Stegostoma tigrinum: one gene and its partners. The protein of the gene in region 3 purifies or fractionates together with the protein of the main gene of each other region. This does not show direct contact. Links are inferred from orthologs where the notes say so. Each region holds a gene or a part of one and is shown on either strand. Other genes may lie near its edges. The genes, in order: ezh2, histone acetyltransferase KAT5, sirt1 and jun.

Evidence for each region.
Region 1: the proteins of sirt1 (region 3) and ezh2 purify together in Homo sapiens (affinity purification with western blotting; 3 studies listed by BioGRID and IntAct, with this or other methods). This does not show direct contact. The link is inferred for Stegostoma tigrinum from reciprocal best matches to the Homo sapiens genes SIRT1 and EZH2.
Region 2: the proteins of sirt1 (region 3) and histone acetyltransferase KAT5 purify together in Homo sapiens (affinity purification with western blotting; 3 studies listed by BioGRID). This does not show direct contact. The link is inferred for Stegostoma tigrinum from reciprocal best matches to the Homo sapiens genes SIRT1 and KAT5.
Region 4: the proteins of sirt1 (region 3) and jun purify together in Homo sapiens (affinity purification with mass spectrometry; 4 studies listed by BioGRID and IntAct, with this or other methods). This does not show direct contact. The link is inferred for Stegostoma tigrinum from reciprocal best matches to the Homo sapiens genes SIRT1 and JUN.

Annotation. Positions count from the first base shown.
Region 1 is NC_081355.1:98,007,048-98,014,179, reverse strand, and holds the start of ezh2 (histone-lysine N-methyltransferase EZH2), read right to left. Parts: upstream 3,003-7,132; 5' UTR 2,719-3,002; intron 1-2,718. UniProt on the Homo sapiens protein: Polycomb group (PcG) protein. Catalytic subunit of the PRC2/EED-EZH2 complex, which methylates 'Lys-9' (H3K9me) and 'Lys-27' (H3K27me) of histone H3, leading to transcriptional repression of the affected target gene.
Region 2 is NC_081395.1:3,922,715-3,930,415, reverse strand, and holds the start of histone acetyltransferase KAT5, read right to left. Parts: upstream 3,014-7,701; 5' UTR 2,798-3,013; coding exon 2,731-2,797; intron 1-2,730. UniProt on the Homo sapiens protein: Catalytic subunit of the NuA4 histone acetyltransferase complex, a multiprotein complex involved in transcriptional activation of select genes principally by acetylation of nucleosomal histones H2A and H4.
Region 3 is NC_081373.1:55,234,616-55,242,108, reverse strand, and holds the start of sirt1 (NAD-dependent protein deacetylase sirtuin-1), read right to left. Parts: upstream 3,018-7,493; 5' UTR 2,979-3,017; coding exon 2,798-2,978; intron 1-2,797. UniProt on the Homo sapiens protein: NAD-dependent protein deacetylase that links transcriptional regulation directly to intracellular energetics and participates in the coordination of several separated cellular functions such as cell cycle, response to DNA damage, metabolism, apoptosis and autophagy.
Region 4 is NC_081361.1:56,270,415-56,277,379, forward strand, and holds jun (transcription factor AP-1), read right to left. Parts: upstream 2,365-6,965; 5' UTR 2,086-2,364; coding exon 1,129-2,085; 3' UTR 501-1,128; downstream 1-500. UniProt on the Homo sapiens protein: Transcription factor that recognizes and binds to the AP-1 consensus motif 5'-TGA[GC]TCA-3'.

The DNA of each region.
Region 1 (7,132 bases), on a different chromosome or scaffold from region 3:
TCTGCTCCAGTGCTGTACAGCTCTACGAGTGTGAGGGACAGAATGTTTGTGTTGAATATTTTCTTGAAAATAACCTACCCAATGAGTATTAGTTTCAAGAGGCTCCTTGGAACTTTGTTATGGTGATCAGGAATGCAGTACCCACAAGACTGAGCTTATACCAGGAGTGTACACTGATCATTTCAGACTGAAATGAAGAGAAAAATCTTCACTCACTTGTGAAATTTTGGAATCATCTGCAACAATTACCACATAAGCCGTTTCTGTTTTGTTCACTGAAAGATAAACTGACCTGTATATTTTACATCACCCAAAAGAGTGAACAGTGTTTTATGTCATATTTGTTTTGCAAACTTCAAATGGAAACATCTTCTCCACACATATCCTGTCCAAACCACTCATGAATTTCAAAACATCTCAGATTTCCAAGTCATTTTTCCTGAAAAAAGTTCTCTGTTTAATCGATCACAAGAGCTGTAATCACCTAATCTTGCAGCATTGAAAATCATTTCCATACTTGTCCCAGTACTTTATGCCTTGCTCTAGATGTACTCCGTACTCAATACATAGATTTGTTTAATACCACTTCATGACTTAATTTAAATACTGCTACAAATAAATGGCACTGCTTTATCATTTCTAATAATTTTGACTGTCTTCAATGTTGCTTTTAATTATTTGTCTATTTCCATTCCTGGATTAATATGTTCCACTAACTTCTAATTTTCTAAAAACATAGGTAATGTTTTTCTTTTTCCGCCCCACAGGTTATACTTACTCAACTCATTTCAATATTAAAATTCACTTGTCATTTAACTTCCTAGTCTGCAGCTTGCATTTGTGCTCAGTGTCAGGTGTGCTCCCTTGGTGTCATTTGCAAATTGATCTAGAATCCCTTAATCTTAAAGCCAAATCATCAATATAAATTATGATGTTAGTCCTAGTGGTGATAGATGCAAAATACTTGTTCTGATCTCTACCCCTCTTTTCCAACCAGTTACTTACGTCCTGACCTCATGTCCCAAATTTCATTGGGTCTGTGTTCACCCTCTTGAAGGCCTAACGTGTACTGCATCTTTATAATTTGCAACAGAATGTTGACATTTATTGCAACCAGTTATGTACCTTTAATTTTTTCAGCTACAGCATGGATTTTCAAGGGCCACATGTGGCCATAGCTGAAAAAACTGAAAATGAATGCATGGCACACAGATTGGCACAGACAGATCCTCAGAACAAACATGCAGGCACTCAGCTCATAGGTTGCATTGGTAATGGGAACTGAATGTGAAAGGCAGTTTTACTGCAGCTTTTACTGCAGGGCCTTACTGAATCATCATCTGAACCACTGTGGAGCCTTCTGTTCCCTTTAATTGAGTGATATAATTGCATTCAAAGCAGTTCAGAGAAGGATGACTCAACTCAGGGAGAGGGTTTACACTATGGTGTAAAGGCTGCTGACCATCATCTTCTCAAGGGCAAACAGGCCAGCCAAGTACATCCTAGAAGAAAATTGACTCCCTTGTCATGGAACAGAGATGGTGGTGGCATCAATGACTCTGAAGCCAGATCGGTATTGATTTTAGTGAATGGCAAACAGGTTCAAAGGGCTAACCCTGTTCAGAAGTCCTAGGTTCCCACACACACCCTGTGCACTGTTAGAACTTCACTGAGGTAAGCACTCAGGCTGACCTCAGAGATAGTAGGAACTGTGATGTTGGAGTCTTAGATGTGAAGCTGAATGAACACAGCAGGCTAGGCAGCTTCAGAGCAGGGAAGCTGACGTTTCTGGTCTGGACCCTTCAGAAAAAAAAAAGACGGGTCCAGACCCTAAACGTCAGCTTCCCTGCTCCTCTGATGCTGCCTGGCCTGCTGTGTTCAGCCAGCTCCACATTTGATTACCTCCAGGCTGACCTCACTGTTCTGTTTCTTGACGTTATACCATTTTAAGTGTAGATTCGTGCAGCTCCCCATAACACTGACATCATATCGACTGGTTTCTCAATCCCAGATTTTGATTTTAGATCTCTTTCGTCATAATAGGGGAATGATACATCACGGGAGGCAATTCAGTTCATCATGTGTATGACTTCTCTGAAAGAACTACCAATTAGTCCCACTCCTCTGCTCTTTCGCTATAAGACATGCGTTTTTTTTAACCTCCTACTTGTTACATCCCACTTGATGACTCTAGGTTTTCTCATCACGCCGCTAAACGAGTTAATCACCATGCCCTAATTCCACTGCCAAGCGGAGGAAGGGCATCCCCCGGAGTAACTGAAGGGCGGAGAATTAGTAGGGAAGAAGGGGAGGGGGGGGCAGAAATCAACTTCCAATAGATAAAGTTTATCCCCCATTGGTCTGTTCAAACTCGGCAGCTGATAAAATTGGAGCCGACTGAAAACACTGAATCGCTCCCCGAGTGAATGACAAGATTAAAGAATGATTTACACAGTCTGATCGGATCAGGCCTTCAATCTGTCCCTTTATTTATGATTGGGAATTAAAGGAAACATGTTCCGGGGAATCCGGCGCTACACCCGCTGCCCCTCGGGGAGGGGGTCGGTGGGGGAAGGCTGGAACCTAACGTGGCGAGCGCGCGGATTCCAAACGCTTGGCCGCCAGCTCTGGCCGTTGGAATTCAAATTTCCGCCAGCCCAGGGCTTCCGCAGCCAACCGGACTGACGGAGACTTCTATTCTTGCCGCCTCTTCCTTACCTGGATGGAGAAGCAGAAGCTGATCCCTGCTGACCTCCTCCTTCTCTGCCGCTGTCAGCCGGGCTAACTTGGAGCCGAAACTTTGCGAGAGTTTTACTGGGTGAGTTTACAGCCGGGTTACGCGGGTGTCAGGACGGTGATCGGGCCGGCCGGCAGCCGTTACTCTCACGTCCTCGGCTGGGTGGCTGACTGCCTCTGTCTGTCCCGCTCGCACTCCGTCTCCGAGCTCTCACTCTTCTTTTCTTTCTCTCCTTTTGTCTTCGTTCTCCGCCCGGCTACACAGATAGGGCGCGAAAACAACGTGTCCAATCCAATCAAACTTTGCTGAAGCCTGCTAACAAACCCTTCTTGCATTGGGCGCAGGAGGCCCACTTTCCTCCAATCTGCATTAACCTCGCATGGGAGTGTGGGATGTGACCATGTGGTGCTTCTTTGTGGGGCTTTCAGGGGTGGTTTTTTTTATGTGCCCGTCGTTCTGGTAAACGTTGAGTAAGTCGCGCTCGTGGAACTTGGATCTGTCAGGACGGAGCTACATCGAGATGCGATGTCAAGGGATGACTCAAGCTATGCGGGTGTATCCTCCAATTGTAATGTGCGGGTTTCTATTTATAGTTCCTTGTTCCCCAGCCTGAAAATGAAGATTCCTGTCACCATTGGCTGCTTGGCACCGAGAGTTGCTGCTGTTGCATTTTCAGTTTTGAGCAAGTTCTACTAGTGAAAGGTTACTAACTTCACGTTCCGGATTCACTCTTATGTTTCAGATGGAGCTGGGCGTAACGATGCGAACATTTTCGCTTTCTCTTGAAACCATTTTCATTTTGTTTTTCCGCATCAGCCTAGACACCCCCGTGAATTGAGACTTTCCGGTCTGTCTTCTACTGGAAAGGCTGTATGTAGTCCAGACAATGAAAGGATCAAACTTGCTCGGGGTTCTGTCCACAGTAATAGTTTGACACTACATTCAAGTGAATTATGGTTATCTGTGAGAGGGATCTTGGCACGTGTAGAAGCAGATCCCTGCCAGGGTTACTACCTTCAGGAACAAAAAAAACTTAGATGCAGCTTAAAACGAACGAATATTTTGTCCGAAGTGCAACCATATTAAACAAGTTATTCAAAAATGTTTATGCGAACATCTATTTCTGTGCCTTTGTTGAATGTGCTTCAATATTTCACTGGGTTTAGTTAGGTGCTTTTCTGGTCATTCATTTATTCTACATCTCTAATTACCCTTGAGAGGTGGTAATGGGCTGCCTCCTTGCAATCCATGGAGTGCACCCACAGTAGGGGAGGTTGCCACAGAAGTCATTTGGCTGTAAGGAAGTTGCAGGGTTTCAAATAAAGAAATGGCAAAATAGTTTAATCAGGATGGTTTGTGGGTTGAAGCGAAACTTACAGATAGTGATGCTCCTAAGCATGTGTTGCACATTCCCTTTTAGATGGTAGAGGGTGCAGGTTTGGAAGGCGCAGTCAAAAGAACCTTGGTGAGTTGCTGAATGCATCTTGTAATTGGTGTACAATGTTGCCATGATCTGTCAGAGGTGAAGGGAATGAATGTTGAAAGTAGTGGATGATATACCAGTGAAGTATCCTTTGTTATGGATAGTGTCAAGCTTTTTGAGTTTTTGAGCTGTAGACATTAGGTAAACGGAGAGCATTCTATCACACTTCTGATTTGTGTCTTACAGAGGATGAACGGGTTTTATGGAATCAGGAATTGTGTTATTTGCTGAAGAATTCTTAGCCTCTGACCTGCCCTTGTCCAGCCACATCAATTCTGTGGCTAATAGTTCAGTTTTGTTCAATGGGAAGCTTGTGCTGGTAGTGGGGTTTCAACATGGTAATGTATTTGAAAGTCAAATGGAAATGATTAAATTCTCCCGTGGCCATTGATTGGCACTTGCATTACGTGAATGTTGCTGCGATTTGTCAGGCTTACTTATCACCTGAAGCATCAACATTGTCCAGGTCTTGCTGCTTGGGGATATGGATTCGTCAGTATCTGAGGAGTCACAAATGGTCCTGAACAATTCCCTTGTGTTAGGTAAGCCTCCAAACATAGAATGTTTTCCATATGATTCCCATTGATTCCATTTATGCTAGGGTTCCTTCACAGAATTGATGTTGCTGGACAAGGGCAGGTCAGAGGCTAAGAATTCTTCAGCAAATAACACAATTCCTGATTCCATAAAAGCCGTTCATCCTCTGTAAGACACAAATCAGAAGTGTGATAGAATGCTCTCCATTTACCTCATGTCTACAGCTCAAAAACTCAAAAAGCTTGACACTATCCATAACAAAGGATACTCAAATGCTGCCTTGATATCAAGGATCATCACTTTAACCTCACCTTCAGTTACCTTGTCGATGTTTAGACCAAGGATATGATGAGTTCCAGATCTGAGTGGAATTGAATGCAATGAGAAAATTTTTGCTGAGTAATTGGTACTTGATGACACTGTCAGCAACTCCTTTGGTCACCTTGCTGATGAGGCAGTCATTGGACTTGCCCTGCTTTTTGCATATACCGTACAGGACGTGCCTAGGCAATTATTACATATTGCTGGTTTGATGCTAGTTTTATAGCTAAATGGGAACAGTTTGGCTCGGGGCATAGCTAATTCTGGAGGACACAACTTCAGTACTGTTGCCAAAATGTTATCATGGTCCAGCACTTTTAGCCGTTTCTTAATATGTGGAGTGAATTGAAGTCGATAAAGCATGGTATTTGTGATGCTAGAAATCTTAGGAGAAGGCTGAGGTGGATCATCCATTCAGCATTTCTGAATGAAGATTGATGCAAATGCTTCAGCCTTGTTTTTAGTCCTGAATGTACTGGTCTTCTCTTCCAACACTGAGGGTGGGATATGAGGCTATCTGAGATAGAAGCAGGTTATTTGGCTGATTGAGTCTGTTCCACCATGCAATTAAGATTGATTTGATAATCCTCAGCCTTGAATATACTTAACAACACAACTTTCTCAGCCTTCTGTTGTAAAGGTTTGCACAGATTTACTGTCTTCTGAGAGGGGGAAAAAACCTTCTCTATCCTAACTGGGAAACCCCTTACTCTGAGATTATCCCCTCTGGTCCTAGACAAGGGTATACAACTTCTTTGTCAAGACCCCTAAGAATCTTAGTTTGGTCATTAGTGTGCTGTTGTGCCACTTTGGTGATTTATGTTGAAATACCTAACCCAGAATGCATTCTTTCCCCTTGCCATGTTCTCCCAATTGGTGTGCAACATGAAAGAGAACTGATTCATCAGTTGAGGGAAGGGGAATTAGTGTGAGGTAATCAGCAGGATGTTTTCTTGCCAATGTTTGGCCTGATAGCATTAAACTTTGTGGGGTTCAGAGTCAATTTTGAAGACTGCCGAAACATTTCCCTCCTGACTGTACCATTCTGCCACCACCTCTGGGTGGTTCCGTCATGTCAACAGGGCAGAATATTCTGAGCTGATTATGGCAATGTCTGAGAAATAATCACGCTTGCAGAATCATACCTGCAGATAATGTGATCTCTCAATTTTGGCACAAGCCCCCAAATATTTGTAAGGATTACTTCACAGGGCTGAGTTTGCTTTGTTTCCAGTGCCGAGATCAATACCAGGTGGTCTGTTCAGTTTCATTTCTTTCTTGAGACTTCATTGTGGCTTGGTACAACTGAGTGGCTTGCGAGGCCATTTTAGAGGGCATTTAAGAGTCAACCATGTTGCTTGCAGGTCCTTAGTCACAAGTTGACCAGATCAGGTAACGATGGCAGATATCCTTCCCTGAGAATGTTAGTTAACCAGATGGATTTTTAGGATAGTAAACAGTGGTTTCTTGGTTACCATTAATCTAAGTTTAAATTACAGTTTATTTTTGCAAACAATTTGCTTATTTTCTTATTATTTACTCCCATTCATTCTCTCTCTCTCTCGCGCTCGAGGACAATATTATTTTATTGTTCGTTATTGTTTACCCAGCAAACAATGTGGATTCTTGTATTCAGTACAAGCTTAAAACTGAAGTATAAGGATATAAAGAGAACTCCCTTGAATCTCGTTTCTCCATGTAGTTTTGTGAAGCACATCAAGATATTTAAGTACATAAATGGTGCTATACTAAAAAAGTTGCAATTGTAGCTAACAAACTTCCAAATGAATGCAAAGGGCAATTCTGTGCATGTAAAAATGCCAAATGAGGACACAATTGGCAATAACTTTGGCCTACATTGTGGCTTAGATATGACAGAACACTTACAGCAGATTAGAGGCCAGTGCCTGTGTTGAACAGTTTTCTGAATTGCCGCTTTGTGTCAAAAAGAAATGGAAAACAAGCAAAAAATTAGCGGTTGAGTTTTAGTAGCTTAGGGACCATTTATAATTGAGTCTTCTAAGAATAACAGTCACTTAATCATTCCTTCAAAG
Region 2 (7,701 bases), on a different chromosome or scaffold from region 3:
CACCTCACTACAGGAAGGACGTGATAGCACTAGAGGGGGTAGAGGAGGTTCACCAGCATATAGCCTGGGGTGGAGAAACTGAGCGGTGAGGAGAGACTGGGTAGGTTTGGATTGTTTTCTCTAGAGCAGAGAAGACTGAGGGGGTGACAAGAATGAGATGTACACAACTATGTATGAACAGGGCGAGTAGAGAGCAGCTGCTACCTTTCGTTGCAGGGTCTATCTCGAGATGTCATAGTTTTACGGTAAGAGGCAGGAGATTCTGAGGGGATTTGAGGAAAACCTTTTCACTCAGGGGGTGCTGGGAATCTCGAATGCACTTCCTGGGAGGTATTAGAGACCGGAAACATTACAACCTTTAAAAACATTTGGATGTGCACTATAAATATAGATACATTCAAGGATCTGGGACGAGGGCAGGAAACTGGGATTAGTGCATCTAGTATCAGAGATAATGGGAACTGCAGATGCTGGAGATTCCAAGATAATAAAATGTGAGGCTGGATGAACACAGCAGGCCAAGCAGCATCTCAGGAGCACAAAAACTGACGTTTCGGGCCTAGACCCTTCATCAGAGAGGGGGATGGGGGGAGGGAACTGGAATAAATAGGGAGAGAGGGGGAGGCGGACCGAAGATGGAGAGTAAAGAAGATAGGTGGAGAGGGTGTAGGTGGGGAGGTAGGGAGAGGATAGGTCAGTCCAGGGAAGACGGACAGGTCAAGGAGGTGGTCTTCCCTGGACTGACCTGTCGCCTCCCTACCTCCCCACCTACACCCTCTCCACCTATCTTCTTTATTCTCCATCTTCGGTCCGCCTCCCCCTCTCTCCCTATTTATTCCAGTTCCCTCCCCCCATCCCCCTCTCTGATGAAGGGTCTAGGCCCGAAACGTCAGCTTTTGTGCTCCTGAGATGCTGCTTGGCCTGCTGTGTTCATCCAGCCTCACATTTTATTATCTTAGTGCATCTAGTGTTGGGATGAGGAACTATCCAGCAGAACCAGTTGGAGAGCCCCCGCAAGTGGCAAGAGGTATCACACTCTGGGAGATGTGGGACTGTGTGTCCTGCCAGGAGGAGATACTGTACTCTGGTGGATCCAGCGGGATCACACTCTCTGGAGAGGAGGAGGTACCTTACCACCGTAGTTCCACTGGGTGTGCCCTTGTGGATGGGACGGGTTACTGCACTATATCTGTTCCATTGAGGGCACTCCTCAAGACCAGGAGGATTTACTGTGCCCAGGGAGATTCAGTGGGACCACTCCTTATGACCAGAAAGAAGATCCACTGGGAGCGTCACTCATGGCCTGGAGAAGGCACTGCACTTCACAAGATCCAATGGGTGCCCACCAAACTCCACCGTGTCCTGGAGCAGATATCACACTCAGAGTTTCCAATAACAGCCTGTGCTCTGAGTCCTGCAGAAGGAGCTGCACTTTGCAAGATCCAAATGGCAATTTCCACCCCCCCCGCCCCATACCACATCCTGGAGGAGGTACCACACTCAGAGAGTTACAATGGGAGCAACCCCCCCATGGCCACGAGGAGGTATTGCTCCTTATATGAATTGCTGTGGGACTGCACTCCACAAGGGGAGCAACCGACTTCCCCTCACCCCTAACCCCACCCAATACAGCCAGAAGAGGGACTGCACTCAGAGGTCCAATGGGACCACCCCTTTGGCCTGTAGGAGGTACTAATGCCACAGGATCCAGTGGTATCACACCCCTCCTCCACGGCCTGATGCAGGTACTAGACTCAGGGCGATTCAGTGGCACTGCATCCCTTGCCCTGTGGCCAGGATGAGGCAGTGCATGTGGGGAGTTCCAATGGGAACCACCACCGTGGCTAAACGGAGAGATTGCTTCTCGAGATCTGCAGCGGGGGCACCCTCCAAAACTTTAAGGAGGTACTGCATTCAGGGATTTCCAGTGGGAACCACCCGCCATGGCCAGGTGGTGATATTACTCCTTTGGAGTTGCAGTGGGAGTGCTCCCTATGGTGTGGAGGAGGTACTGCACTCAGAGATTTCCAATGAGAGTGCAACCACCACCCCTGTCCCTATCGTGTGGAGCAGGTAGTACACACTTAGGGATTTCCAGAGGGAGCATACACCCCATCTGCCCCATGATGCTGAGGAGATACAGCTCTCAGGGATTTCCATTGGGAGCACCCCCATAACCTGGAGGAGGTACTCCACTCACAGACTTCCACCGGAGTGCACGCCCCTCATGGCCTGGAAGAGGTACTGCACACAGGGTTCTCCAGTGGGAGCGCTACCCACGTGACCTGGAGGAGGTACTGCACACAAGGTCCTCCAGTGGGAGCGCGCCCCACGTGGCCTGGAGGAGGTATTGCACACAGGGTCCTTCAGTGGGAGCGCTACCCACGTGGCCTGGAGGAGGTATTGCACACAGGGTCCTTCAGTGGGAGCGCTACCCACGTGACCTGGAGGAGGTACTGCACACAGCGTCCATCAGTGGGAGCGCGCCCCACGTGGCCTGGAGGAGGTACTGCACACAGGGTCCTCCAGTGGAAGCGCCCCACGTGGCCTGGAGGAGGTACTGCACACAGGGTCCTTCAGTGGGAGCGCGCCCCACGTGGCCTGGAGGAGGTACTGCACACAGGGTCCTCCAGTGGGAGCGCCCCCACACGGCATGGAGGACGAAATGCAAACAGCCCCGTCCGAGGGATGGTACACCGCGCCCGCCCGTCCGCCATGTCGGCTACTCACGCCACTCGTCCTCATTCTCCTGGTTCCTCCGGAGGACGGGAAGGCGGCATCCTTCGATCACCTCCATTGTTAGTCCGGGCGGTGAGTGTGACTGAGACAGAGGGTGAGACTCGGGTGGAAAATGCCGGTGCGGACGTTGATCACGCTCGGTCTTTCCCGCTCCCCGATGTCTCTTAGCCACGGGACGGCGGTGGAGTTTGTTTATTTCTTTCGATAAAAGTGTTTTTTCACCGACTCCGCTCCGCCGCAGCCGCCATCTTGTCCCCTCGGGGTCCTTCACGTCGCCGAGGAGGCCGCCGCACCGCCTGCCATCCCCCCGCAAAAACACGGCGAAATAATTCAATAAAGAGTGTGCCCAGAGATCCCAGCCCCCAGGAGAAGATGCTCTCACCCGCCAGAGGGGTAGGGGGGTTAATCTGATCATTTAAACTCACCAACATTTAGCACCCATTTCACCAGATAGGGTGTATAGGTGGCTATCTTAGTGCCTGTTTCCAGCACCAAAACACCAAAAACTCAATTGTCAACTTCGAAATTATTAACCTTATTGTCATTCTTAATAACTTCCTCAATTATCATCCTCACTATTATTATTAACTTTCTTTATAAAAACTGCTCAATTATCACCATTATTAAGACCACCTCAATGACCCTCACCATTACTATCATTAATATTACTATCATTAATAACATTCTTGACTTCTACCATCAACATTATAATAATTAATAACTACCTCAATTATCACCCTCCCTATTATCTTTAATAACTGCCTCACTTATCCTCACCATTATTCTCAACTTTATTAATAAATTCGTAAATTATCACCATTATTATTGACATTATTATCATTATTCTCATTAGCAGGCTTCTGAATTATCACCCTCACCGTTATTATCATTAATAACTACCTGAATTATCAATCTCAACATTAGTATAATTTTAAAAATCACCTCAATTATCACTCTTACTGTTATTATCAATAATAACCTTCTCAATTATCATACTCACCATTATTATCATTAATAACCTTTTCTATTCACACTCTCACTGTTATTATCATTAATAACCACATCAATTATGACTCTCACTGTTATTATCATTAACGACCACCTCAATTATCACCCTGACCGTTATTAGAAATTAATAACCATCACAATTGTCAACCTGACGGTTATTATTATTAAATTCTTCCCAATTATCACCCACACCATTATCATCAATAACCACCAATTACCACCCTCTATTATTATCATTAATAACCTCAATTAACACCCTCACTTATTATCACTAATAACCTCAATTAACACCCTCACCATTGATAATCTCAATTAACACCCTCACTGTTATTATCATTGATAAGCTTAATTAACACCCTCACAATTATTATCACTGATAACCTCAATTAACACCCTCACTGTTATTATCATTGATAATCTCAATTAACACCCTCACAATTATTATCACTAATAACCTCAATTAACACCCTTACTATTATTATCACTAATAACCTCAATTAATGCCCTCACAATTATTATCACTAATAACCTCAATTAACACCCTCAGTGTTATTATCACTAATAACCTCAATTAACACCCTCACAATTATTATCACTGATAAGCTCAATTATCACCCTCACCATTATTATCATTGATAATCTCAATTAACATCCTCACCATTATGATCACTAATAACCTCAATTAATACCCTCACCATTATGATCACTAATAACCTCAATTAACACCCTCACCATTATTATCACTAATAACTTCAATTAACACCCTTGTCATTATTAATAACATTATTAGTATCATTATTAAGAATCCCCTCTATTTGAGGGGAGCTGACTAATGCTGGACTGTTTAACCCAGAGATGTATGTAACTATTTGGGGACCAGGTTTGTATCCTGCCACGGCAAATATTGGAATTAGGATTCGATAAAAATCTGGAATTAAGAGTCTAATGATGACCATGAATCCATTGTTGATTGTTGGGAAAACCCCATCTGGTTCACTCATGCCCTTTAGGGAAGGAAACTGCCACCCTTACCTGGCCTGGCCTACATGTGACTCCAGACCCACAGCGATGTTGTTGATTCATAACCGGCCTCTGGGTAATAAATGCTGGCCCAGCCAGTGACATCCTCATCCCATGAAAAATAGAAAGAAATGATCACCCTCATCATTATTAACACTACTATGATGTTCATAACCTCCTCAATTAATACCATTGTTATTAACATTATCTTTGTTAATAATCTTAATTATCACCTTTGTTATTAACATTAGTTTCATTCTGAACAACTTCCTGAATTATCACCCTTACCATTATCACCATGCTGACTATTATCAGCCCTTTTAAAATTCCCCTTCACTCACACAAGTATTGAACGGATTGAGAATAAAAACAGTTCTGTATCCCCACTCTGAAATCACCAACCTGGATGAGCTGATCCTACAGTGCTTTTCCTTTCTTCAGTAATGTCTGACTATTATTATCCTCTTCACCCAAAGGTTTGTGAATCTGTGGAACTCCCCACCCAGCAATGCAGTTGAGGCTATCCTGTTGAATGTTTTTAAGGTAGTGATTTTTGAACAGGATAGGGAATAACAGGATAACAGAATTAACAGGAGAGTTATGGTGAGACAGTGGGTAAGTGGGAGATCAGCCATGATCTTATTGAATGGTGGAGCGGGCTCAATGGGCCAGATGGCTCGCTCTTGCACCAATTTCTTATGTCATAGAGTCATAGAGTAATACAGCATGGAAACAGGCCCAAACTGGTCCATACTGACCGTGGTGCCTGCTGAGCTAGTTCCAATTGCCTGCATTTGGTCCATGTCCCCTTCCCATCCATGTACCTATCCAAAGGGTTTTAAAATGTTGCTGTTGTTCCTGCCTCACCCACTTTCCCTGGCAGCCCATTCCATTTACACACCACCCTCTGTGTGAAGAAGTTGCCCCTCAGATCCTTCTTAAACCTGTGCCTTCTAGTTATCAATTCCCCATCCCTGGGAAAAAGGCTATATGCATTCATCTTATCTATGCCCCTTGTGATTTTACACTCCCTAATAAGGTTACCCCTCATTCTCTTATGTTCCAAGGATTGAAGTCCTATCCTGGCCAACCTCTCCCTATAACTCAGGCCTACTAGTCCTGGCAACATCCTCACAAATCTTCTTTGCACACCTTCCAGTTTAACGATATCTTTCCTATAACAGGGTGACCAAACCTATACACAATAATAGAGCAAGTGTGGCCTCACCAACAACTTACACAACTGTAACATAACATCCAAACTCCGATACTCAGTGCCTTGACAGACCAAAGCCGGCATGCAAAATGCCTTCTTCATCACCCTGTCTATCTGTGACGCCGCTTTCAATCAACTATGTACTCGTACTCCTGGATCCCTCTGTTCTACAATGCTCCTCATAACCTTATTGTTTACTGTACAAGTCCTAACTTGGTTTGACTTTCCAAAATGCAACACCTCACACTTACCTGTATTGAACTGCATGTGCCAATCCTCGGCCCACTTCTCCACCTGATCAAGATCCCTGTCTAATTTTTGGTAACCTTCCTCACTATCGGCGATACCGCCTAATTTTGTATCATCCACAAGCTCACTAACCATGCCTTGTACATTCACATCCAGATGATATACGTAAATAACAGTGGTCCCAGCACCAACCCCTGTGGCACACCACTAGTCACAGGCCCCAAATTCGAGAAACAACCTTCAACCGTTGCCCTTTGCTTCCTACCATCGAACCAAATTTGAATCCAGTTTGGTAGCTCTCGCTGGATCCCATGCGACCTAATCTCCATGACTAGCCTGCCATGAGGGACCTTGTCAAAGCCCTTCCTAAAGCCTTATGTAATAGCCCAGCTCTCTGGAAAAGAGAATGCGGAGGCAGGTGAGGTCTCTGACCGAGTCTTCAAAATGAAGAAGGAGGTTTTGATACAGTCTGATTGTGAAAAGAGGTTTTCCTATTGTTTGGGGGTTGGAGGGGTGGGAGTTGGGGTGGGGGGGGGTGGGGTCGCTGGGGCAGCAGAGGAGAGAGCAGAGAACCAGGGCCCATCAATGTCAGTCAGTCCCGAATAAACTCAGCGGAGAATTCGGGAGAACCATCATGTGGCCCCCAGATAGTGGGTAGAATATGGGAGTCACTCCCACAGGATGGGGGGTCAAGGGGAATGAGGGGAGATGTTGAATAATGTCTTAGATCACAGAGTGCATTCAGGTGCAGTTTTTTGTCTGATTCGGTTAAAGGTATTGAAGAGAAGGCTCGACAATGGCAATTCTCTTAAATGTAAACATTTACTGAGTGAGAAGAAAAGAAAGGTGCGTTTATTAAGTAAATAAAAAAGTGAAAGTAAGTAAATGAAAAAGAGAGGGAAAAAAACCCAGTAAGCCTCACGCCCTTCTGCTCATCAGGGTCCCCTCGATTGACAGCTAGCCTGGAGGCCAAGATTGTTCCTGTGCCCATTTTGCGATCCTGGTCCAGGGTGAAGTCCAGCGACTCAGCATGAAACTCTCTCTCTTGTGCAGTGTACAAACGGCAAAGCACAGAAACACAATGCCAGAAAAACCCCTAGATTGTGTCAGCATCAGCACGTACAGGAATGTTCACAGGACGGTGCAGCTTGTCGAATATCACCCACAAGTTTGGTGCTTCGGCCCATCCCATTACAAATAACCTCATCAGGGGCAGGGGTAGGGGGCGGGGAGAGGAATGGCCGAGAGGAAGAGGAGGGAAGCTGGAGGAAAATGTGGACGAGGAATTACAGCTGGTGATGTGGGCGTCTGAATTGGCCCCTCTCTTGAACAACAGGGCTGTCCCTTCGGGAAAAATATAACAAGAGCAGAGAGGCAAGATTCCTGACATCGAGGAGAAAACATATGATTTTTCTGGCCAGGGTTGGACTGAATCACGCCAGTGCACAGCGAAGGGTCTATAATCATTC
Region 3 (7,493 bases):
CCAGAGTCAAACAGCATGGAGACAGACCCTTCAGTCCAACCAGTGCATGCTGACCTTAATCTAGTCCCACTTGCCTGAGGTTGGCCCATATCCCTCCAAACATTTCTTACTCATGTACTTACCCAAAGTGTCTTTTAAATGTAGTAACCGTACCCGCATTAACCACTTCCTCTGAAAGTTCATTCTACACACAAACCACAGTGTGTAAACAAAAACCCTTGTGTCTCCTTAAAATCTTTCTCCTCTCACCTTAAAAATATGCTCCCCCCGACTTGAAATCCCCACCCTAGGGAAAGGACACCTGCCATTCACCTTAACTATAGTTCCCATAGAGATTTATAAAATAATGATAATAACCTCCTCTAGCAAAGAAGTCCCACCTTATGCAACCTCTACTTATAACACAAGCCCTATGTTCCCACAACATCCTGGTAAATCTCTTCTGAACCCTCTCCAGTTTAATAATATCCTTCCTTTAACAGGGAGATCAAAAATGGACACAGTACTCCAGAAGAGGGCTTATTAATGTCCAGTACAGCCTCAAAGTAATGTCCCAGCTCCCATTCTCAAAAGTCTGCGCAATGAAGGCAAGCATGCTAACACCTTCTTAATCACCCCATATGTGATGCAAACTTCAAAGTTCTATTATCGGCATGTTGTGAGGACCCAGAACCTTCACAGGATCCTATGTCTTCAACTGTTTCTTGATATTGCACAGACTGAATTGAATTGGCTGAAGACTGACATATGATGTTGAGGACAACTGGAGAAGGCCAAGAGGGATTATCCATTTGGCAATGCTGGTTGAAGGTTTTTGCAAATGCTTCAGCCTTATGTTTCACACAGGTGTGGTAGCCATCCCCATTGTTGAGGATGGAACTCCGCCAGTGAGTTGTTTAATTGTCCACCACCATTCAGTTCTGGACGTGGCAGAACTGCAGAGCTTAGATCCGATCTGTTGGTTGTGGAATTGCTTAGCTCTGTCTATCACGTGCTGCTGATGCTGTTTGACACACATGTAGCCCTGCTTCGTCATTACACCAGTTGACACCTATTTTTTGGGAATGATAGCTGCTGTTCCTGGCATGGCCTCCTGCACTTGAATCAGGGTTGATCCTCTGGCTTGATGTCAAAGCCAGAGTGGGGAAAATATGCCAGGCCATGAGGTTGCACATTGTGTTCGAACAGAATTCTCTTGCTGTTGATGATCCATGTTGTCTCACTGATGCACAGTCTTCAGTTGTGAGATCTAGTCAATCTCATTTAGTGACACACAAACACGATGGAGGGTATTCTCAACAAGAAGACCAGGCCTTGTCTCAACAAGGACTGTATGGTGGTCACGCTTACCAATACTGTCATGGACAGATGCATCTGCGGTATAGCAGATTTGAGGGGATGAGATTGGTGAGGGTAACGTCAGCTATGTTCTCTTGTTTTATTCCCTCACACCTGCTGCAAATCCAGTCTAGCAGCAATGTCTTTTAGGATCCGAACAGCTCAATGAGTAGTGCAGCTATCAAGAAATTCTTGGTGGTGGATACTGAAATCCCACACCCAGGGTACATTTTGTCACCCTCATTCCTTCCTCCAAGTATTGTTTAACATGGAGAAGTACTGATTCATCAGCCAAGGGAGGATGGCATGTGGTAATCAGCAGGAAATTTTTTGTCCACATTTGGCCTAGTGCCTTGAGACTCCAATGAGGAGTCAATGTTGAGGACACCCAGGGTAATTTCCCTGGCCCCATCACCCTTCCCCAAACACATCCCCCACTCCCACAACACCACCCCAAATATGTACTGCTGTGTGACCAGCTTTGCTGCGTCTGCCTGACAGTGGGACATCATCTACAAGACATGATTCTGTGAGTGTGAGACAGCTCTCCCAGTTTTAGCACTGGCCCCCAGTGTATCTAAGGAGGGTTTCGCAGGGTCAGCAGAGCTGTGTTTGCTGGTGCTGTTTCTGGTACCTAGGTCAAAATGAGGTAGTAGTCTGATTTTACTTCTTCCATAAGACGTTCTAGTCATTTTCACAAGTCAGTCGTAGATAGCAGGGAAAAGTCAACCATATTGCTGTAGGCTGTAGATTTGCTTGCCGAACCAGTGTGTTTGATTGCAAATGTTTCGTCATCCTGCTAGATGATGTTGTCAGTGCTCACCGGGGCGCACTGACAATGTTACCTACAGGGTGCCGAAGTGTCTGCAATCAAACACACCGATTTGGAGAGCAAGCCAACAACCTCATCCACAACCTGAGCTACAAGTCTTCTCAAAAATATTGCAGTAGAACTGGGGTAATGTAGGCCAGGCCAGATAAGAGCAGAAGTTACCTTCCCTAGAGAACATCAGCAAATCAAACAGATTTTTCGGTCAATGGTTTCGTGGCAATTAGACTCTGGTGAGTTCAAAGCTCTTCATCTGCCACGGTGGGAATTGAACTCAGTACAACGCCAGGGTCTAATGGTAATACCAGGGTGCCACCTCCTGCCCTATTTCCTGTAATCAGCCAAATGTCATTCAGTACCCACTTACCACCCTTTGCCACCTCACCCCTTACCTCAGCTGCATTTGATAGCTGTCTGCCTTTGTTACCCACTGCTCTCCTCCCCAGAGTACACACACCCCCTGCCTCACTCCCCCTGTGCCAGACTCTCCCAGCCCACCATCACATACCACCTCTCCCACACCAACCTTCCCTTTCGACATGACCCATGCACACAGGCTTCAATCACCCTCCACGGTACTCCCTACACTTACACCACACCCCCACCTGCCCTTGCCCCAGGCCCCGGTACCTTCCCCCGGCGCCGCCCCATTCTCCGGGCTGTCACTCGGCGGCAGATCGTGCCGGCTGTCGGTGGCGGAGTCCTGCTGCTCGGCGCCAGGCGCCCTCCGCCGGCGGTCCCCGGTGCCAGCGGGGCCTGGTGCCGGGCCGTCGAGCCGGGCTCTCTTCCGGAGCTGATCGCCGTCCGCCATCTTCCCCAGCACCGCCCCAGCCGTCACGTGGGCCTGGGGTCAGGGGGCACCGACAGCCGCGCCTGCGCAAAAGGAGCCCGGGGGCTGGGTGGATGAGGGTGAGGTGAGGAAAATGGGGTTGAGGGAGGGGAGCGGATCGAAGGTGTGGGTAAGGGGAGTGGGGAAAGAGTACGCAAAGAGGGGGAGGGGGAGGGGGTGGGGGTGGGGGTGGGGGGGAGTATGGGTGAGGAGGGTGTGGGTAAGGGGGGGGTTTAGGGGAACGTTTGCGTAAGGGGAGGTGGAAGGTGTGGGTAAAGGGGTAACGGGGAAGGTGTGGGTAAGGGGGGGAAGGTGTGGGTAAGGGGGTTTGGAAGGTGGGGGTAATGGGGGAGGGGTGGAAGGTGGGGGTAATGGGGGAGGGGTGGAAGGTGGGGGTAATGGGGGAGGGGTGGAAGGTGGGGGTAATGGGGGAGGGGTGGAAGGTGGGGGTAATGGGGGAGGGGTGGAAGGTGGGGGTAATGGGGGAGGGGTGGAAGGTGGGGTAATGGGGGAGGGGTGGAAGGTGGGGGTAATGGGGGAGGGGTGGAAGGTGGGGGTAATGGGGGAGGGGTGGAAGGTGGGGATAATGGGGGAGGGGTGGAAGGTGGGGGTAATGGGGGAGGGGTGGAAGGTGGGGGTAAGGGGGTTTGGAAGGTGGGGGTAATGGGGGAGGGGTGGAAGGTGGGGGTAATGGGGGAGGGGTGGAAGGTGGGGGTAAGGGGGTTTGGAAGGTGGGGGTAATGGGGGAGGGGTGGAAGGTGGGGGTAAGGGAGAATGGAAGGTGTGGGTAAGGGGATGCGGGTGGAAGGTGTGGGTAAGGGGATGCGGGTGGAAGGTGTGGGTAAGGGTCGGAAGAGGATGGAAGGTGTGGGTAAAGGGGTTGGAAGGTGTGGATAAGGGGGGTTGGGTGGAAGGTCTGCGTAAGGGGGTTGGGGATGGGGCTGGGGGTGGTGGGTGTGGGTTACAGGGGTAGAGTGGGTGTGGGGATGGGGAGAGGGGTGTGTGCAAGCGGTTGTTCACGGGGGAGATGATAAGGATAAACAAGCATAATTTATGAATGAAGCATACTGCTCCAAACCATCTTGTGTACTTCAAAATGCAGGTCCACTGTATTCAAATTCTGTTGTTTTTCACTGGGGGACTGTGAGGTTGTTTGGTCGGGGTGGTTAACAGGGAAAGAAAGAGTGGGTGTTGGGTGAATGTTTCTTTTGTAAGATTCTATTGCCTACCTGCTTGTCACTACCCTGGTTGGTTAGCTCTGCAGTGATCCTGATTGACTCATCAGGTCTCACCAATTCATCAATTAAGGATATGTTACTGTCACAACTGTGTGGACCACCCCTCAGTGATACCAACCAGCAATCCCTCACAACCTGCAGAATTGACTACAGGAACAACATGTATTGGATAGTGTATTGGTTTGGCACTGATCCTTGCCTCCTTCATCTTCCTATCCTTCTGCATTCTGCTCTATTACCCTGATCAGAAAAAGACGAAGCGTCTAGGCCCAAAACGTCAGCCTTCCTGCTCCTCTGATGCTGCTTGGCATGCTGTGTTCATCCAGCTGTACATCTTTTTATCTCAGACTCTCCAGAATCTGCAGTTCCTACTGTCTCTGCATGAAAATCAATCAGCTCGACACGCCAATCAACAACTCCAAATGCAGTCCGAGCTACAGATCTTTGATAAAACATTAAATTGTTGACTTCTATTTTGCAGTAAAGGTAAATCTGTAGATTTGGGATTTTAGTCAATGAGTTTACAAGTTGTTTATCATTGGGCAATGATCTTGAGGTTGAGATAGATAACGTGGAGCTGGATGAACACAGGTGGCTAGGCAGCGTCAGAGGAGCAGGAAAGCTGATGTTTCCGGCCGGGATCCCTCTTCAGAAAAAGGAGAGAGACTTCCTGGTTATAGTATGCTATTTCATATTTTTCACTCTCTCTGCTCAAAAGCAATTTCCTGAAATAGAATTCTTTTGTGGATTCCAATGTGTAACTTCCAGGAAATTGTGAAGCAGTCAGGATGTTCAGTGGCATTTAGAACAATGTTACTTTCAGCTCACTAATCTTTGTCTATTGATGTGCTCATGAATTTGGCTCAAACTGGACAAGTGATCACAGCAGCCAATATCTGTCCTTTTTTAAAACCAGTGTTTTGCTCTGGAAAGGGTCTCAGGAATGACTCTTAGATGATGGGATTTGATATTGATCATCTATTTTTACTGTAATCAATATTATATTAAAAACAATGTATAAATGCAGACTGTTGATGATGATAATAAAATAGCAAATCCTCCAATTCTTGCCAAACTGGTTAGTGATATATGGGAACTCTAATGGGCACATAGTTCATTTGTGACATTTCATTCCTGTGCAATGACTTCTAACCTAACTTGTAAGAAATCTGACTTAGTGTGATGCGTGGGCATGAATGCACTGTCAGAACTTCGGTCCTAGAATCCCTACAGGGTGGAAACAGGCCCTTCGGCCCAAAAAGTCCACACCAGCCCTCAGAGCATCCCATCCCCCATAACACCTAATCTACATATGCCGGAACACTATGGGCAATTTAGCATGGCCAACCCACATCTTTGGACTGTGGGAGGAAACCGGAGTACCCGGAGGAAACCCACACAGACAGACACGGGGAGAACGTGCAAACTGCACACGGACAGTTAACTGAGGCTGGAATTGAACCAGGGTCCCTGGTGCTGTGAGATAGCCGTGCTAACCACTGAGCCACCGTGCCACCCCACGTTAGATAATTTGTTACATTGGAGTTGTTGGTTGGTTCGCCGAGCTGACTGGCTTTAATGCAAATATTTCGTCTCCCTTGTAGATGGCATCATCAGTTCTGTGTAACCTTCTTTGAAGCATTTGTTGTTCTGTCCCGCACTGAATTTCTATGGTCTGTTGTTATGTCTCACAGCTTGTATGTAATATATTTCGAAGAGATGTGCTCATGAAATCATCGCCACATCATGCCAGGCGACCTAAGGGTATAAAGGTCTCATATTCCATGTTAACCAGGGCCACTTGAAGATGCTACCATTTGTAATTGAGTAGCTTCATCTTAGCCTAAACACTGAAGTACCTGCAACTGTAATGTATGTATGTACCAGGAGCTTCAGTAGTGTCAGTTACCTCATTCATTACACTGTTGCCTTGTTAAGTTGTAGGAGCTAACATAAGCACTCAACAGATACGTATACCCGAGATAACAAAGTGTGGAGCTGGATGAACACTGCAGGCCAAGCAGCATGTTAGGAGCACAAGATGCTGCTTGGCCTGCTGTGTTCATCCAGCTCCACACTTTGTTATCTCGGATTCTCCAGCATCTGCAGTCCCCATTATCTCTGATACGTATACCCTACTGAAGGCAGTAGTTGGCACTATGGTGGTGATCCAGTGAGAATGCCACAGATGCTGTAAACCTGAAATAAACTATAAGGCCTATTTGTTTGTCATTACCATCGATATTTTGCTGAGTCTCAAACCCTCCAAGGGCTAGGTAGTGATGTGACACTGTGTCCTAACCTCTCTGGCCTCAGCTCACTCACTTCTGCCCCTCCCAATTCCTAAGTCTCTGCTATGTTCTTGGGTAAATTGTTTCTTGCCCATTCGGCAACCCCACTCCTCACCCAAGCAATACAAGGCACTCGGAGATAATGGGAACTGCAGATGCTGGAGATTCCAAGATAATAAAATGTGAGGCTGGATGAACACAGCAGGCCAAGCAGCATCTCAGGAGCACAAAAGCTGACGTTTCGGGCCTAGACCCTTCATCAGAGAGCCTCTTGTGGAAACTAGGGCTCCTTTTTGATGGTATGAGTTGCCTCATTCCATTAAATGCCCAAAGAGAAACTGTTGAGTGAAGGTAAGTCTTTAAAATAAATGGGCGATACGGTCAGCTGGTGTGTTGTTTCGGCAAAACCAGAAAAAAGTTGTAAATGAGAGACAGAAACTGTTAGAAAAGCTCAGCAGGTCCGGCAGCATCTGTGGAGAGAAATCAGAGTTACCGTTCGGGGTCAAGGTGAGAACTGAGCTTGGTTCTGAGGAAGCGCCACTCGCCCAGTAAAATTAACTCTGATTTCTCTCCACGGATGCTGCCGGACCTGCTGAGCTTTTCCAGCGATTGCCGATGTTTTGGGACGTTGCGGCAGATGCCTAAGTTAACATTCACCACAGGGACACTCACTCACTGGATAGAGACAGTCGGCGGTAGGTTTAACCTGAGAGTCAGGTGAGGTGCAAGGTTGAGAAGGTAGGATCTTCATGGTAACCTCAGCTGATGTGGGAAATGAATGCTCTGCAGCACAAACCAATGCTCCCTCCAACTGATCTAATTGCCTCCACCCCCCCCCAGATGGCAGGTGGGTAAAACACAAGTGACAGGAGAATGAGGGGATGGGGTGGTGGTGTGTTATGGAAGATGAGGGATTGAGTGACAGGAGGGTTAAGGTGGTGAGTGAGGGGGTAAAGTGATAGGCGAGG
Region 4 (6,965 bases), on a different chromosome or scaffold from region 3:
GCTAGACTTTAATTTGTTCCAAATATTTAACATGAAGATTTTATTCAGTCCATACATAATAATGTATGTAGGGTTATTTTGGATTTCTTATGTGACGTATTATGAAGAATTTAAAACTTTATAAATAACATTAATAGGACATTATAAATTAAAAATAGTTTGCTGCTCTTGAGCAAAGACATCGGCAATAAGACTTTAGCACCAAGTCATAGTGTACATTTAGACCCTTTGAAAAACAAAAGGTGAAACTGAAACGCCCAATATTATTTTCGAATAATGTTGTGAACTCTATAAGAAAATGTTTTCATTCTGAATATTCCGCCTAGCAAGTTAGAGTGAACACGCGAATTTCGCCTGTTTCAAGTTTGTTAGAAAGAAACTTGACCACAAAGGACAGTTCTGTACATCCTTGATGCTAGATATACTTTCACTCCTCAGTTAAGAATTGCTGCAATATCACTGAACATTATATGCCAAGAAAATAGAATACAAAATATACGTATCTTTTCAAATACTTTATTTATACATTCTTAAATATAATTGAACTTTTTCCAGAAGTTCTCAGAAACGGAACATAAAAAATTATATATTTTATTACAAATGGTAAACTTAGAGTCCTCCAAATCTCTTATTTACAAGAATAAATTGGGTTTTGCCCCAATAAGCAACATAAAAATAACTTACAAAGGCTATCGCTTGAAGCGGTTATGTTTTGTTGACAGAAATCATCTTTCATGAAACAAAACATAGTCTGTACATTTTTCAAGGCAAAACGACCTCAAAAGCTTTAACCTCCCTTTATTCCCTCCCACGCCCTCCCCCACATTATACTACATCAGAAGCGATCTACTCTATCGCAGTTTTTAATTCTGTAATACTGGATGATCTTGAACTGCTTCGGTCCATGCAAGACTTGGTCATAGTAAAACAATGACTCGAAATTTAGTTTTTTTTGCCGCAAACAGCATTTCAGTCAGACTTTTTTTTACATCAAGCACAGTCCTCCACGTTTTCCTCCGTACATGCGCGCTCAGGGCGCAATCAGGACTTTTCTTCTGTCTTGATCTATTTAATTCAGTCCTCTTCTTTGCATTTGTTCACCAATAGTTCTCCACTACAGTTCTTGAATCAAAACGTTTGCAGCTGCTGCGTTAGCATGAGTTGGCAGCCGCTGTTTACGTGATTCATAACTTTCTGCTTCAGCTGGGCAACCTGTTCTCGCAGCAGGTTTGCTGTGGACGCTAGTTCAGAGTTCTGCGCCTTTAAGGTTTTCACTTTGTCTTCCAGCCTGGCAATTCTCTCCAGTTTCCTTTTACGGCACTTTGAGGCGGCGATGCGGTTTCTCATTCGCTTCCTCTCGGCCTTGATTCGTTCCTGAGATTCCATGTCAATAGGAGACAACGGCGGGGTCTCCCCGGGCATCTCGGGCACCGTCTGAGGTTCTTCCTTCAATGCCTGAAGTCTGGGATGCTGCACAGGCATTTGGTGGTTCATCGGATGATGCTGGGGTGCTGCATAGTTCATATTATTGCCGTTGTAGTTAGGCTGCGCGGTGATCGAGTTAGGGTTAAAATTGTTGAGATTAGCGTAGACCGGAGGCTCTTGGTGCAAATTTGAATTGTAAACAGTACTTGCACTGGGCAGAGAGGCAGAAACCGCGATCGCCGTATTTGCAGACGGAGTTGAACATGTCACGTTGGGCAGGATATTCTGTTTATGAAGTTCTTCAAGAGCTTTGACAAAGCCTTCAGCAAAACCCTCCTGTTCGTCCGTGACATTTCTGGGGCATAGGAACTGGGTCGGTGTTGGGGTGGTGGTGATCAGTCCATTGCTGGACTGAATTATAAGACGTTCAAGTTCAGGTGATGCGAGTTTGAGAAGTCCCACGTCCGGAGACGTTAATATACCTTCACTGTTCTTGTTCCTCAGATGGGGCTTCAAGTTGCTCGCTGGATCAGACAGGTTCAAAGTCATATTTTGTTTCAACATTTTCGCACTGTATCCATAACCACTATTTTCAGGCTGTGCAAAAGCTGCGTTCAGTGCATCGTCGTGGTAGAATGGCTGTTCCATCTTCGTAGACATAGAATACCGATGGAAGAAAACTCTTTGATACAAAAGTGTTTTAAAATAGATGTAACAGAGTTCTTGAAGAGTTCGAATAAGTCTACTCGGTTACCTGTTAAGCTCACAATTTCAATAATAGAAACGTAATTTGGGAAATCAGTTGATTTCTTTTCCCACTAATTTCTCCTGCTGTACCAGTTTTCAGTAAGAATGCTACCAAATCAAAAGAAAAGTGTTCAAACTACCAAGTTCCTCCAGCTTGTTTCACACTCAGCTCTGAGCACTTGCAGCGTGAGTCCCAAGCTTATCTGCAACTGGTAATAGACCCGAAATAGCAATGAGGTCATCTCGGCTCCTTCCCATTGGTTGGCTATTACGTATGGGCGTTTTAGACTTTGCATGTCCGCTCGGTTTCCATAGCAACGCCCCAGAAGATTCTAACTATCGTGGGGCATGACGGGCTGAGGTAATGCAGCGTGGAGCATCATGGGATGACGTCTTTATTTTGAAGATCCAGTTACCCGCTTTGGTGGAAGTCGGTGGAGTGGCGGGAAGAGTGCTGGGATTGATTTGGTGGCTTTCCCAGAATATTTTGTTTCACCCACTATCACTTGGGCTCATTTTATTTTTGTCCTCTAACTTGCTTTCTCACCCCACCTCCGCCCTGTTGGTAGTTATGTACCGCGATGATTTTACAAAGAGTGGGTGTTTGTGTGTCTTTTTCACCGCGCTGAAGGCGGGTCTAGATGGATGTGGGCCTGACCAATGGGAAGCTGCTTGCTGGTGGCGCTGTGCCCAATGAGAAGGTCCTGGAGGCGGGCCAACTTTCGAACGCAAACCGTCAAGGCGCCGTCCGTACCATTGTGACGTTCACGTTGACAGGCCGCCTGGGCACCTAATGGAGGCGCGACGGCCTGTTGCGCTCCCACCAATGGCAGTGACGTGGAGGCGGGTCCTCGGTCAAAGTTGGGTTGACCTAAGGTTGACCGTCTGCTCCCGTGAAATGGATCCGAGTGGGTTTTGATGGTGGTTTAGGAGTACCACCTCCCCACCAGCCGGCGCACTCAATGCCCTTTACCAAGTGCTAAGTGAACGACTAGCTTTTCAACTGTAGGCCACCACTGTCCTTCACTATTGCCTGGCAAAAGCGTTGTGCTTCTCACCGTGAAGTGACTGCGATTGTTTTAAACTGTACATCGATTTATTTTTCGGGAAAGCGCGATGATTATTAATATGTAGGAAGATTCCTCCCGTTTAGTTGAGCCTCCCCATGTTTATGCAGCTAGGTGGTCATTTTCGTAGTCTACCCTGAAGCAACTGTTTCTATTTAGGCGAAAATTTTCATTGGCGAGAGGAAGCCCCTTCCAACTATATTCTTAGAGCTTTTGGCGACTTTTTTTTGGTGACATTGTGTACCCATTTTTAATCAGCAACCACAACGCTAAATAACCCACCCAGCCAGTGAAACGTGAGCTCTCTTATCCAGGGAGGATACAACAACAGACTATCTGCTCTGTACTGGGTTCTTCAGAAAATTAAAAGCTGTCTTTCCTCTGGTGTGCTAAAAGATCGGGATTCAGTGATCATAAGCACAGTGATTAGATAAATAGCTTTATTTTGCTGAGGGATCATTCTGTACAGCATAAAAGTATAACCTGTTAAGATTGGAAAATATATTTTAACAGTTTAACTTTAGGGTTTTCTATCTGTAGGCTAGTGTATCTAATAGGTACTTGCATTTATAAAATAAAGCTTCTTTAACTAGTCGGTACTCCTAAACTGTATTTGGCAAACAATTTTATGTAAGGCATTGCGCGCATGTCTAAACCTGCCCTCACTAAATGCTTACACATTTACACACGTGTTAGCAAACAGGAGGAAAGGCTCGGGTAGTTTAAGTCCAGACATGCTGCAGCGTACCGGACTGATCCTGGTACAGATCAAAATGACTTGGTATAGATCAGAGTTCAAACATGACATCTAATACATTTTGTAACTTTGCAGATGATCCAATCTTTAATTTGTTTTCTCCAAAAATAATTTTAGATGCTTGTTTTATATCAAAATGAGTTCTTTTCAGGTGTAGATTAGAATAATATCTCAAAGAATGAATCACAATGAGTGACGTTCCTGATTTTTGTAATTAATCCACATTTGCAGGGTATAAATGTATTTGGATTAATGCATTTTCGACACTCCTTCAGTTGATGCCTCTATTTACATACTGATTTGCAAACAGATTTCGGGGTTTTTGAAAATAAATTGGGCAGCACTTAATGATTTTGAAAGGTATTGATGTCTGCATTTTCAATGATATTCTGCTGCCTTTATTGATTTATTTATTTGTTTTCAGATCGCTAAGAAATCCTTTTTAGTGGAAACTTTGGATTGTGGAATGACACATCTATTTCCTTTTGGCAGTATGTAGTCATACAAAAGGTGGGCAAGATGATGAAAATGCCACATTCTTGGAAGCTGATTGAGCAACTTTAGACAATTATTGGCCTCCTTGTGGGTACTGGCATCCTACCAGTGCCCCTCCTGTGTGGAGAGATTGCCCAGAGCCCTGGTGGATACCATTAGGGCTCTGAGGTGAATGACGGTAGGGGGAGAATGTTATTTGGAAGTCCACTTTGCCCCGTGAAAGGACTATCTGCCAATGACTGCCTTGGTCGCAGTAGCATTACATGCAAAATGAATCATGTGAGCCCTTCCTCCACATCAATGATCTCCTAAATGTATCCCTCACCAGGACCTGCTTAACTATCCCTGGTGATCTGAAGCCCTACTTACTAGATTGTGAGGTCTACTAATGCATTCTTCTGCTCCAAATGCAGCATCAGCATTGCCCACTGATCCAGGTGGTGCTGCAATTCCTGGCGATGGGCTTCCAGGGAACAGCAACTCCAGATGTGGCCACGTAAGTGGCTGGAACTCATAAAATACAGACCCTCATTTTGTTGCCTATGTAAAGTTCAGTGCTTTATGTACAGATGAATATCCTTAACACATTAAACAAGAAATGTAGGTCAAATTAGCCTATATTAACCCACGTTAAGCAGAATGGAACATTGAAAGAATTAATAGCTGCCCGCAGTATTAAACACAGTTTATTTTGAGGATTTATTTTGAGCTAAATTGAATATAATTTATTACAAATGTCTATGTGTTGCAGTAGTTCTAAAAAAAAGCTCATCTGTTTATATTTACAGAGTGTGCATTTTGAAACCATAAATTATTTATGTGGAATTCTAAATTTGAAAAGATATGTGTCAATTTCTCGTATAATTTGTATTTCTCCCTTAGACTTCCTTACCTTCTCTCTTTGTACTATGTGAGTTGCAGGCTGTTAACGTTGGAGATGTTCTTCTGCGCACACTTTCTGCAAGCTGTGTTAGTGCCAGTTTCATAGTCACCTTGACAAGGCTGCCTTTTTCTACTGGGATTTGGCAGCACTGTCAGGAATAAATGCTTCAAAACATTTGGGATACCCCTTTTAAGACTTCATATAAAGAACCTAGTGTTGTAAGTTGTGCATTATAGAGATAGGTTGCCTTTTACTTTCATACTGGCAGCTTTTTTTTGTGGATTCTTAATGCAATGCAATTTATGGCAAATTACATTTTAATATTTTATATCATTAAATAATTTTGAATTAGTCCATTCCATTCCGCAGAACCAGATACAGTGCTGCTTCTATCCTTATGGGTATGAAAACATACTGAGCAATATAATTCTCCTGTATACGTTTCAGAAATTCTTTCCCCTCTTTGCTGTTTATACTGTTGAGTACAAAATTCAAGGCTGAAACTTTAGTGCAATGCAGAAGGAGTGCTGCATTGTTGGAGATGCCATCCTTTAGGTGAGATATTTGCATGAGGTTCAAATGTCTGCTGGAATATTGTAAAGAACATAAGTTTATAGGAAAAGGAGTAAGCCATTTGCCCCCTCAAGCCTGCCAGCCGTCTAATAAGACCTGGTGTGAGCTCCGTATATCCCTCAATGCCCTGATATTTTAAAACATATTTGTACCTCTCTTTTTAGTGACCTAGTTTTCATAATTGCCTGGAGTAAAGACTTCCAATATTTTCTACCCTCTGAGAATAAATTCTTCTGTATCTTGGTTTTAAATGAATGACCCTTTATTCTGTGACAAGTAATAACAAGAAGTAGGATTAGGCCATTCGGTCAAAGCTCCCAGGTCACTAGTTCAAACAATAGCAGTGAAGCACTTCTGGCATCCTGGCCAATATTTATCTCTCTAACAGCAAAAAGCATTGTTATTATTCACATTGCTGTTTGTGGGAGTTTATTGTGCTCAAGTTGTCTTTCCTAACATTTCTAACATTATTAAAGCAGCTAAACTCCAAAAGTAAAGATAACAAAGTGTGGAGCTGGATGAACACAGCAGGCCAAGCAGCATCTCAGGAGCACAAAAGCTGACGTTTCGGGCCGAGACCTTTCATCTGGTGAAGGGTCTCGGCCCGAAATGTCAGCTTTTGTGCTCCTGAGTTGCTGTTTGGCCTGCTGTGTTCATCCAGATCCACACTTTGTTATCTTGGATTCTCCAGCATCTGCAGTTCCCATTATCACTAAACTCCAAAAGTACTTCGGTAGATTCATAAGTCAGCGCTTTGCCACCTCTAGTAGGATGCTGCCACCAAGCAGACATCCCTTTTCTACAGTTTGCTTGCACTTCATTCGATTTAGTTTACTCTATCTATTGCTCACAATGTGATTGCCCCTACATTGAAAACACAAAATGTGTGACCCTGTTGCAGAATACCTCTGCTATTTCTGTAAAAATTACCCCAAAATTCTGGTTGCCTGCCACTTAAATACTATATTCCCATGGCAATATTTCTGTCTAAGGACTGCTACCTCCAGCAAAGTTCAAA